Linked DNA regions of Nothobranchius furzeri. The protein of the gene in region 3 binds, or shares a complex with, the protein of the main gene of each other region. Links are inferred from orthologs where the notes say so. Each region holds a gene or a part of one and is shown on either strand. Other genes may lie near its edges.

The links.
Region 1: the proteins of unconventional myosin-Va (region 3) and rab11a are in contact, whole or in part, in a crystal structure (PDB 5JCZ), measured with the Homo sapiens proteins. The link is inferred for Nothobranchius furzeri from reciprocal best matches to the Homo sapiens genes MYO5A and RAB11A. Residues at the interface, in NP_001369276.1 of Homo sapiens: Ile1660, Gln1661, Trp1738, Met1742, Arg1745, Tyr1746, Ser1749, Gln1750, Glu1753, Arg1756, Gln1777, Gln1780, Val1781, Lys1782, Lys1784, Met1795, Glu1818; in NP_004654.1 of Homo sapiens: Arg33, Glu35, Ile44, Gly45, Val46, Glu47, Phe48, Ala49, Thr50, Gln63, Trp65, Gln70, Tyr73, Ala75, Ile76, Ala79, Arg82.
Region 2: the proteins of unconventional myosin-Va (region 3) and spire2 are in contact, whole or in part, in a crystal structure (PDB 5JCY), measured with the Homo sapiens proteins. The link is inferred for Nothobranchius furzeri from reciprocal best matches to the Homo sapiens genes MYO5A and SPIRE2. Residues at the interface, in NP_001369276.1 of Homo sapiens: Asp1551, Val1554, Arg1555, Thr1559, Ile1562, Asn1563, Lys1566, Ser1597, Gly1598, Leu1615, Thr1616, Asn1617, Phe1618, Asp1619, Leu1620, Ala1621, Glu1622, Tyr1623, Val1626, Asp1629, Leu1630, Gln1633; in NP_115827.1 of Homo sapiens: Arg404, Pro405, Arg406, Val407, Leu408, Leu409, Lys410, Ala411, Pro412, Thr413, Leu414, Met417, Glu418, Met420.

The regions. Positions count from the first base shown.
Region 1 is NC_091749.1:66,753,747-66,757,396, forward strand, and holds the end of rab11a (ras-related protein Rab-11A), read right to left. Parts: intron 2,489-3,650; coding exon 2,352-2,488; 3' UTR 197-2,351; downstream 1-196. UniProt on the Homo sapiens protein: The small GTPases Rab are key regulators of intracellular membrane trafficking, from the formation of transport vesicles to their fusion with membranes.
Region 2 is NC_091744.1:86,274,336-86,278,751, forward strand, and holds the start of spire2 (protein spire homolog 2), read left to right. Parts: upstream 1-1,604; 5' UTR 1,605-1,803; coding exon 1,804-2,101; intron 2,102-4,416. UniProt on the Homo sapiens protein: Acts as an actin nucleation factor, remains associated with the slow-growing pointed end of the new filament.
Region 3 is NC_091744.1:64,486,687-64,490,336, forward strand, and holds part of unconventional myosin-Va, read left to right. Parts: intron 1-1,300; coding exon 1,301-1,429; intron 1,430-1,537; coding exon 1,538-1,594; intron 1,595-1,684; coding exon 1,685-1,912; intron 1,913-2,042; coding exon 2,043-2,110; intron 2,111-2,555; coding exon 2,556-2,630; intron 2,631-2,712; coding exon 2,713-2,911; intron 2,912-2,993; coding exon 2,994-3,087; intron 3,088-3,162; coding exon 3,163-3,306; intron 3,307-3,386; coding exon 3,387-3,541; intron 3,542-3,621; coding exon 3,622-3,650. UniProt on the Homo sapiens protein: Processive actin-based motor that can move in large steps approximating the 36-nm pseudo-repeat of the actin filament. Can hydrolyze ATP in the presence of actin, which is essential for its function as a motor protein. Involved in melanosome transport.

The DNA.
Region 1 (3,650 bases), on a different chromosome or scaffold from region 3:
GGACCCATCTTCTACTTCCAGCAGGATCATGCACCATGTCACAAAGTTCACATCTTCCCCAACTGGTTTCTAGAACATGACCATGAGTTCACAGGTCTCCCAACGACCTTCAGATCTCAGACCAGTCCAGAACCTTTGGGACGTGGTGGCACCTCTAAACTTGGAACTTGGTGTTTAACAGGAAGTGAAAGTCTGCTGGTTTATGACTGGTGAGCTTTATTAAGATAAACTGATAACTTAAGTTATTGACACATTGTACAATTCATCGATCTGTACAAACATAAAAGCGTTGGTTTGGACCCATTTGGACCCGTTCTCACATTAACCTCCAACTAGGTGAAATGACATCATTTCATTACAGTCAGTTACAGAATCAACCAGATAAAAATCAAAACACTTCTTTAAAAAACAACAATGGAATCAACTGATCTGGATCAGAACTCATTCTCTGTCAACCAGCTGCTGGTTCTGGAGAGGTCAGGCTGGCGGTGCTGCGGGTCCAAACAACCAGCCAGGCTCACAAACTCCAGAGCTACCCTCTGTAACTAAACACAAACACTCAGGGGTTTGAGACATTAGCGAGGCATCGGTTTACAGACCGGACCGAACCGGGTCGGGTTGGACCGTGCACGGTTCTGACTACTTGATGACTGAATGACTATGTAAGGCGATATGAGGTGGAGCCGTGCGCTGTGTGGAAGTCAGAGGCAGCTCGGTGTATGTAGGCTTTATGTGACGGCACACGAGGATCGGGTCGGATCAGAACATGTGGGTCGATGGCGGCCAAGCAGCAGGAGGTACTGCGAATCAGCTCGACCGATTCCTCTAGTCTGGTTCTAAAACAGTGGTTCTGGTTCTGCTAAAAAATCTAATCTTTGACCAGAACAAAGTTACAGATGTTTAGTGCAGGAATCGGACCTCCGCGTGGGTCAGTCTTTATCTTTGCAAGCCAGCGGTTCTGTGGGTCAGAGGAATGTCATGAAGGGATTCACCTGTTCTGTTTAGGGTGGGATCAGAAACCCAATCAGGTCTGCTTTAGATCTGTGAAAATTAAATCGCTTTTGTTTGGGTTTCATCACATCTCAGCACAGGCATCGGAACCGGAACGTTCAGGAGTCCTGCCCTTGACCCAGATCCATGTCGTTTCCCAGCATGCAGTGCAGCAGAGCGATGGTCACTGCATGAGAAGCGGTGTATGGACAGCCGAAAAGGACAAAAATATACATATTCAAAAACGGCCCAAAAACTGTCCGATTTTAAAAATTGTTTTATTTTCATCAGATGTGTTTAATTATTTATCTTATTTATCTTTATATTTTGTGTTTATTTGTTCTGATTTCTGCTTTAATTTTATTCCCATTTCCTTTTGTGACGGAGTCTGTTCCTCAGAGCTGGCTCAGATCTCCTGACGAACAGAGATCCTGAAACGGAGCCAGAAAAGGACAGAAACACTTCCTGTTTAGCCTCTAAGCTACAAGGCTAGCTGCCTTGAGCTAAAATAACACAAAAGCTCCAAATCAGCTGTAGTTCTGACACCAGAACGGCCAACAGGCCTCGTCATATTTAAGCTCATGAAAATATAAAAGATAGGAGAAAATGAAAGAAAACATCAGATTTTCAAAAGTGCAATAATTTACTTAAAAGGTAAATTAAAAACAAAATACGGAAACAAATAAGAGCTCTAAATACACTGATAACAGAATGAAGTTTAAATTCATACAGAAGCATCGATAAACATTAATACTGTTTTGAGCCTTTTAAATGTATTTTTTATTGATTTTTGTCCATTTCAGGCCTCCGTAGACACCTGATGCAGAGGTGATGATAAAACCGAGTCACGCCCAAAGCGAACAGAATCACAGACATCAGATCGAACGGCGCTCGTGCGCTCGATACATCCACGTGGTTTCCAGACAGTACATTGCACTATAGGAGGGGGCGGGGCTATAATGACAGGAGACGAGTGGACAGAGGACTATGCTTCAGAGCGAATTCGATGTGCTTCAGATTTATATATTTATATATAGTAAGAAGATACGAGACGAGTCATTAAAAAAGTGGAGGAATGAAGGAGGGGAGCTAATCACATTCAGACGTTTCTGAGACGAGTCAGCGCTTCTACAGGAAGGAGATCTAACGAGGGAGGAAACGCCTGCTGTCCTGCAGTAGCCTAAAGACATGGGGCTTTGCTGGGGGGGGGGCACTTAGTCTTACAATGGGGGTGGGTGGTTAACTAAGGTGGGGCAGGTAGAGTTCAGGTTGCAGGTTTGACTCTGCGGTTTGATGTTTCCATACCGAAGCAGTCTGTTCTCTGGGGATGGGGCGGGGGTAGCAGCAGGTCCACGGCGGCGCTAGATGTTCTGACAGCACTGCATCTTTGGTTTGTTTTCAGTGGGCTGCACCTGGATGTTGACCACGTTGTTGCTAGGCGACATGTCGCTCTCCTGGCGCTCAGACATCTGCTTCTGGGACACAATGCGGTAAATCTCTGGAGGAGAAGAAGATTCAATCAGGAAGTTTCAGAAACATCTTCTGATCAGACTTTTAAAATGAAACTCCAGGTTGCCTCAAGTAGGCGTCACCAACTCCCGTCCTCGAGGGCTACCATCCCTGCGTTTCCTGCTCTACCAAAGGTGTCATCCGCATATAAATGTATATGAGAACAGGGTTTGGCATCGAGCATCGATTGGAACCGGTTCTAACTGTTAGTTTTTCCCGGAATCGTTTTTCTTTTTGATTCCTAGAATGCAGACGGAAGAGGAATCCGTGGCCTTTCTCCGTGAAAAATAAACGTGATCTGCAATTTGTGATCAACGCTTTTCAGAGCTGATCACACCAGCTGTCTGTGTGCAGCACCGAGCCCCCCGTACAATAACCTGTAGAATAATTAAAGTCATCATGCTAGAAAAGCTTCTCTGTGGTGGACCACACCAGCTTCTGCCACAATAAATAGTTATAATAATAATAAATAACATTTTTTATTTCCTTTTTGAACTATTTCTGTTGAGAGTTTTAATGTTTAAAATCTGTTAGATTGTTACTGACAGCAGCTACATTTAAGTTTCTGCTCTGACTGAATGCTGCTGCAGGTAGGAAAACAGCTGGACGTTTCTGGAGACATTTAGCCTCTCATCCCAGAGGCTTCTTCCAGACTTTGGTTGTGGTCAGAAACAAACACACTGGTTGTGCTGCAAGTCTTTTGGGGGCGACGGTGGCACAGGAGTTAAGTGCTCGCCCCGTAATCGGAAGGTTGCAGGTTCGAGCCCCGCTCAGTCTGTCACTGTCGTTGTGTCCTTGGGCAAGACACTTAACCCACGTTGCCTGCTGGTGGTGGTCGGAGGGACCGGTGGCGCCTGTGCTCGGCAGCCTCGCCTCTGTCAGTGCGCCCCAGGGCAGCTGTGGCTACATTGTAGCTCATCCCCACCAGTGTGTGAATGTGTGTGTGAATGGGTGAATGACTGATTGGTTGTAAAGCGCTTTGGGGCGTTCCAGGACTCTAAAAGGCACTGTATCAAATACAGGCCATTTACCATTTTTTTCTCTAAAACATGTTTTTGTCTAAATGAAGGTGATGTTGTTGTTCATAGAATTAAAATCCATGTTGAAGTTAAGATTATTTCATCAAGTAGGACCTGTGGTTAGCTGGCTCA
Region 2 (4,416 bases), about 22 Mb from region 3:
TTGATTTGAAAAGTTCTTTCACAATGATAAATGTTCTCAAGTTGTTTTTCCTCGGGAAGTGAAATTCCGCGTGTCACTTTGAAATAAAACTAGATTGTCATTACTTCTCAGAGCTTCATCAGCGGCTGCAATGGAATGAGACTGTGCCAGCTTCTGCAGCTTTGGCTTTGTGGTTTCTTTAAATACGCACATTTGAAATGTGTTTATTTTCCCTTATTCATAAGGAGTATATTAACAAATCAACCACTCTAAGAAAGAAATGTATTTTTTGCGATTTTTATTTAATTTGTTTGGTGCAAAAGTGGGTTATAATGTATTGTCAATTTATAATATTTTAAAAATATCTTGATATTAAGGTAATAAAATGTGTGATAATAAATTATATTGTTTCATTCAAACTCCTGCATAGGCTATGAATTATAATTTAAATAGTTTAGCTGATTTTTGTTTGTAATTTTTGTCACTTTAGTGCTGTCACGTTCTGATTAGGAGGAGTAGGACCCAATATGCAGAGCACCAGACGATATGAGGCAGGAGTTGATATAAAGTAAAAAATCCTTTTATTGTAGGATGAACCAAAATAAATCCAGAGGCATGGAGCCCAAAATCCAGAAATCCAAAAGCAGGAGAACAAAAGCTCAATTAGAGCACAAACTGGGGACTAGACAGGAAGCTCACACAGAGCACCAAAGAACAACGCTGACAAACAACAATGGACCGACAAGAACAATGAGACAATGAGGGCTTATATAGACTGGGAGGAGCAATTAGGGAAACAGGAAGCAGGTGTGTGGAGTGAGGCTGGAGGGAAGGCAGGTGACAACAGTTATCTGGATGGGGAAGAGAACCAGTGGAGGGCAGATAAACCTGACACTATATAAAACACAAAACTAAACCTAAAGACTAAGGGAAGGGCTCACACAAACACATACTGACACACACAAACTCATACACACGTACAATGAACTGGGGAACAAAAGGCTGGGGCTACAACTTAAGACACACAACAGAGATGCAGACAAAGAACACATGAGGGCGCTATGAGAACACAAAAGGAGAACCTGGAGTGGGAACTGGAGGAGCTGGGGAACAAAGGGACACAGAACATGACAAGTGCGTGCCTACATACAAATAAGCTCAACCAAGATGGCCAATCATTTCCCTTATCCTGGGAAACGATAGCCGGTGGACAGGTTTTTTCCTTCCCCTGAAGACCTGTCTGTTGAAATGGTTTTACAGAGCAGCTCTGACAAAAATCCAGAAATCATGAGCTAGGATTGTCTCTCTGACAGAAGCAAAAAGCAACAAGCGTCTTCCTTTTAAAAAGTTTTTACTCACTCATTTCAATTCACAAACCGAAAACACAATAAATAAATTAATTAAAATATAAATAATTAAGTAAGTAAATTTACTTTAAACTGCCGACATCTTTTTTCTTTATTTGTGAAGTTGTCTGATAACAAGACTCTTATATATATATATATATATATATATATATATATATATATATATATATATATATATATATATATATATATATATTGTATTTTAAAGAACATTTTCCAAAACGCCATGGAGTCATATGGGATCTAGTTATGGTTTGACATTTATTTTGTAACTTCACATCGCCTGCTGTTTTATTTTTGAAACCAGAAACCGGAAGTCCATGTTTCCGTCTGCTACCTTGACAACTTGTAACATAACGAGGCGCAGCTGCGGTACTCGAGACCGGGTCGAACAGCTCAGCACACAAATGGCCCCGGTGCTCGAGGAGTGAAGCATGGGCTCCGCGGCATCGCAGTCATGGCCGGATCCACCACCAGAACTACCGAGGACGGGGGTTCCCGTGTGACCGCCTCCACGGACCGCGCGGAGGTTCGGGACCTGGCCGAGCCCTGGGAGCTGTCCCTGGAGGAGGTGCTGAAGTCCTACGAGCAGCCCATCAACGAGGAGCAGGCATGGGCCGTGTGCTATCAGTGCTGCAGCGGACTCCGGGTGCCCCGCCCGCCGCCCGGGAGAGCCAGCCGGGTGAAGGACCCGTCCGCCATCCTCCTCCACAGAGATGGGACCGTTTCGTTACGGGAGGAACCCCGACGCGACGGTAGGACGGTTGCTCCAACTTCTCTCAGCTTTGATTGGTCTAAAAGCAAAGGTTTAATTCAACAGCGCTAGCTTCTTTTGTAAGTTTTCGCTTCAACTTTGACGTGTGCTAAACATGAAAGCTCACGTTTCTATTCGGCAAAGATCAACAACAAATGATCAGCTTGGTTTTATCTCAGGAACGAGTTTCCTTCAGCTACATCTACTGTTTCTGTGTGCCAGTTTCACTCTTTTAAAAGTGAACCGAGCTGTCAGGCTCAATGATATTAATGCGGAATTGAAGGGTCACTATCAGTGTCTCGAAAATACTTCAAATCCTGGTTAGTTTTTCAACAAGCTCAAAGTAAAAGCTGTTTCTTATTAAATTAAATAAATCCCACGTTGGGTTTGGCAGAGATGAACTAGAACTCCAGCGTCCTGCTGCATCCAGACCAACTTGGGTTTATTTACTGGGATTTTTTTTTTGAATAGGAGCACAGTTATTTTTACACAGAACATCTTTGTATCCGTTGATATAAATCGGTGTCTCCCTTCCAATGCCAGAGATGCCGGTAAATGATCAATTATTCAGAGGACAGCTTTAGCTGTGCTGGTGCAAGGACTGTTTTGGAGACTTCAAAGGATGAATGGAAGCCCAAAGGATTTCATGTAGTCTTCTTTTTATTTTATTGAATTCTCCATGACTGTACCATAAAAATCCTCCTGCGTTTGGATTGTTCATGACTCACTGCAGTCCTGGAACCTGCTTTATTTTTTATACTTGAGGACAAACTAGATGTGTCTTCAAATTGTGGCGCACTTATATCCACTTTTACTGCCTTAGGTGACTAATGTCTTAATTCCCTGAATCATTTTCTTTCTGTATTTTATTGTATAGTTGTAAATGTTTGAAGTATTTTTAATTGTGGTGTTGCCTCAGTAAAAACTTCAATTTTTGTCTTATTGACAAGTAGTCATAATAACTGGGTTTGTAGCGCCAAAGTCAGATTCACATTTAAGAATAAACATGTAGATTGTTATGATGATGCAAATTTTCCTCCCAAACTGGATCATAAATCAGAAAAATGCATTCCTTAAATAAATCCTAAACCATTTATATGCTTTAAAAATGTGAAGTCTTTGACATAACCCCATTAATTTATTAATTTTCTTTTAAGTCAGCTGTACATTCCTTGTTTTTCAAAAGAATTTTATTTCTTATTTTAGAGAGCTGAAACCAGAGGGGAGCAGGTGTGCTGGGATGAATACATTTGGGGAGCATTGTCTCCTTGGTGATGCTGTTTATTTATTTTTTATTCTTGTATTTTTTATGCTATTAGTTGAATATAATGTAGATTCTCTGTGATTTAGGGCACGGAAAATAGGATTTAATTCAGGAGAACTAGACTTTCGTGGTTTTTGGGATGCTCTCTTTAGAAAGGCAATATTAAAAGCAGCAACAGGATATTTTCTTTTCCTTTTCGCAGTTCATTTAATCTTAGAAGGACGCCTTTTGCACAGCTGAGGAAGAATAACAAATAATCAAATACTTTTAATGATGCAGAAAATAATCCACAGGTAAACTGAACCTTGCTGTGCAGGAATCAAATGAACGAAACACATTTTATTAGTCAGACAGATGAAATATTTAACAATTAAAACAGCATTCCAGCTGTCCAGGTTTCCTTTTTCCCATCGTCAGTCTGCTGTGAAATCACACATGACTGACCGTAAACACAGGCAGCTTTCGGATGCTGCTGACATCAGCTGTTCCACCGACTCTCCCTGCGAAGAGCACAAATCTGAGCGGAAACAGCCGCTGTAACGTGAACAAAGTGGAGGTGCTGCAGGAAGCTCCTCTGAGGACGAGCTGTTACGATGCCTTCATGAGAAGTGTTCATCAGCCCTCCACCATCTGGACCGCTCATCTTTTTCTGAATTTCATGGACAATCTTTATTTATTTATTTTTTGTGGCCAAAAGTACATTTGTGTTGGCAGATATTTTTGGTGACAGCTCATAACTCCTTCATTGATCCGCTCAAATGTTGAAACCAGTGTTCGGAGGAAGTGGATCCATCTTCTAGAAAATGTCTAAGACCTTTTTTAGAATCCAGGCTCCAAAACATTGGCTCATTTTCTAAAATCAATATTCATTTAATCCTTTTGCAATCATTTCAACACAACATTTCAATGAAATCTGTGTGATCTCCTGTTTTAACTCTGTAAGAGGACAGTAGTGCTTGTGCGGCGTGTGCAGGACTTTACGCCTTCTTAATACATTTATGACAGGTTATCTAATGGAAAAGTATCAAACTGCATTTATGACATCCTCACCG
Region 3 (3,650 bases):
CCATCTAGTTGGCCGGTCTCGCCGAACCACTGCACTTCCTCCATTCCCAGGGTTTTCCATTCGTCACACACAAGCGTTTTTGCAACAGAACACCACTGGTGTGAAAGGTTATCAGCTCACATCAGAAAATGAGAAACAGCCGGCTGCTACCACTTTAGGACAAACTACCAGAGTCCCAAAAAGAAGGATGCCGTCTGTTTGTCACGTTAAAAAAGACATCTAGATCTAGAAAATGGGTACTGGTGTTTAGCACTAGTTTCCTCTGGTAATGTGGGTGTCTGGTTCTGGAAGAAGTGTCTTAGGGAAGATGCCTGAGGGGAGGGGGTGTAACGTGACTATGTTTGCGTTTAAAATCTAGCTTGTTCAGTAGATTTGCTATAGCAGCTTTAAAGTAACACTGAGCGGTTTCCTGCTCCTCTGCCCTACAGGTTGAAAGGGGAATTACAGCTGTTCACAACCTTGCTGCAACCTGCTGTAGCTAGTGCTAACAATGAGCAAACACTAACACGAGACAACTAATACTAAAATAAACCACAAAGTAAAACGATCCACACTGTTGGACAATAAACATTATTACTTACAATTCCAGTAGCAACAAAGCCAGGTCACTATCAGCCCTTGATTTTGTAGCCTCCTTTAGCTCCCTCAAACTAGTGTAGGCTGTGCTGATCTTCACTCTGGTTTTAGCTCTTTGATTTGCCTCCAAAGACATTACTCTCTTACTTCCAGGCTCTGCCATGATGGTAACAAAACAGCAAACATCTTTTTTTCTATTGAGGATTTGCAAACTGAAAAAGCTAACTGCTGCTAACTGCTAGCATACCAGCTAACAGCTGTAAAACAGGTAAAAAACGCCCCCAGGACACTCACCTGCTTCACAAAACTGTTAAGTGCAGTATCTGGCCAATAGAGGGTGACAGAGTTGTGTCAAATATGAAAATGGTCAAGTTTCTAACTCAATAATCATGTTAAAGCTCTAGCTTAAAGTCTAATAACTAGCTAGTGTTTAACTTATTTTCTCAGAGTTGCACCATTGCAATTAGAATACTGTCTTCTCAGAGCAGCAAGATAGGCTATCAATGTCCACATATAAGAGTAGAATTAAAACTCAGTGGTTACTACAACACCTATGAATGCATTATCTAATCTTATAAGCATGGATTACCTCCCATTACAAACAATACATTATAGGCTACAGAAATAATTTCTTGTCTCAAATGGAGACCAAAAACATTGTTCTTTCCTCCAAACAGATACTAAAACAGAATTGTATTAACTGATGTTTTCTGTGTTTTTTCAGGATGAAAGCATGTCTAAAGTGGACCTGCCAATCCTCCTCAAGCTTCAGAGAAGGGTAAAGGAACTAGAGGAGGAAAATCGATCACTTTGGCAGCAGCTGGATAAAAGAGAAGAAGCTCAACAGGAAAAGGCAAAAATTACAAACACCTGGGTTTTTTTTGCTGTAAAAACATTAAATGTTATGAATCTGTTTTTAGTTTTTAAAACTAAAAATTGGGTCATTGTCTGTTTTAAACAGGAGGTGGAGGAGCAAAAAACTGTTGGCACAACAGAACTGGACTTAGAAAAGATAAAGGTGAGACTTAAACAGCTGTTTACCATTAGAGATAACTTATCTGTGTCAACATGCTAAAAATGTCAAAAATGAAACCATTTCTTAATGCAGCGACACGAACTTGAGTCTGAGAACAAGAAACTGAAACAGGATCTAAATGAGCTTCGAAAGTCCCTCACCAGTGAGACCAGGGAGTTAGCACCTCCTGCTCCTGGTTCAGCGCCCTACAACCTTTTACTAGAGCAGCTCAATTCCTCCAATGAGGAGCTGGAGATGAGAAAAGAGGAGGTGCTGCTCCTCCGCTCACACATGGTCCGTCAAGAAGCTCTAAAACACAGGGTAAGAAAAAAAACAATCACATCTGCTTTAGTTTTTAATTTTTCTGAAAGAAATTACTGTTTGTGCTAAAATCTTCTGATAAATTAGACAATTACAGAGATGTTGATATAATTTTGTATTTTATGTCTAGGATTCTGTATTTAGAGAAGGTGTGAAGTTGGAACTGAATGAAATTCCTTCATTGCAGGATCATGAAAGGTGGGAAACTTGGTTTTAATTTTATTCCACTTGCTAGTGTTTTTTAAATTGCATTCTTGCGAGACGATCTTGATTATTGTTTAAATTATGCAACTTTCTGTACTTAAATGTTTCTATTTAGAATTTGATATTTTACTTCAGTGTCTATGGGTATGACATTATAACCAAATAGTTAAAACAATTGGTCTTCATTTTTGAGAGACAGAAAAAGCATGTGAAAGCCTCAAACTTGTCAGTAGCTTTTTAAACTCCCAACTAAATGTATAAACTGAAACAAGTAGATGTTTACATGGTGACATTTTCTCACAATGACACAATGCTCTGATTTTAAAGACGGCTTTTAAAAATGTTTTAGCTGCTCATCAGTTTGACGCTCCAGTTTCAGACATTTTTAACTTTTTCATCAGAGACTAGTGTGTTTGTGTTCATGTTCTGTTTGCTCTAGGTCCTCTAACATTCATACACTGAATGAAGATGGAGAGCTGTGGTTGGCTTATGAGGGTTTGAAAGAGACAAACAGGTATTGGTGTAGTGTTCTGTATTTAATGTGTTTAAACATATTCATGTTATGGGGACCTGAACCTTTAGCTTTCGTCCTGCAGACTTCTGGAGTGTCAGATGCAGGAGCAGGAGCGTCTTCACAATGAATCAAACGGGAAGCTTGTGGAGGAGATGAACAAACTGAGGGCTGAGAAGGAGCAGCAGCAGAAGCTGTTGGATCAAAGCCTCCTTCTGCCCGAGGACGCCCGGGTCGATGCAGCCCTGAAGCACGAGATCACACGTCTCACCTCTGAGAACCTGGTGGGTCTGGTCTACTGGGGTTTTATATCCAGGTCTTTTCAAAAAATGTGTATAAATAACTTTTTTTCTTGAATAATTTCAGGAACGAATGGAGCAACAGGAACATCAGGACAAAATCGTACGCAAATTAAAAAAACAGCTTAAATTGTACATGAAGAAGGTGGAAGAATATGAAGGTAATTCAGTGAAACTACATTTCTAGAGTCGTCGTGTTTTTGATGAAGACGCATCATTAATCCTGTTATTTTTAGCGAGTTCTCAGCAGATGAATACTTCCTCTGTGATGAGCACTCCCATCAGGCCGGTGAACATTCCCCGTAAGGAGAAGGAGTTCCAGGGTATGTTGGAGTTCAAGGAAGGAGACACAACCCGCTTGTTCAAGAATCTGATCATAGGTCAGTTTGTTTATAAATAACACACAACAATTAAAGTAGTTAGACTTTTTTTTACCCACTCAGTTTCTTTCTCTTCTCAGATCTGAAGCCTCGTGGTGCAGCAGTCAACTTTACCCCAGGGCTTCCTGCCTACATCCTCTTCATGTGCCTCCGTTATGTAGACAATGTGAATGACGACAAGAGAGTCATCTCTCTCCTGAACTCCACCATCAGCAGCATCAAAGGGGTCATAAAGGTGCAGGTTTTAGCTTTGGTCTTGCTATATAAAAGGACCCGTGTGCTTGTTATGTTCTGATCTCTAAACCTTTTCTACAGAGGAAAGGAAACGATTTGGAGGTGGTTTC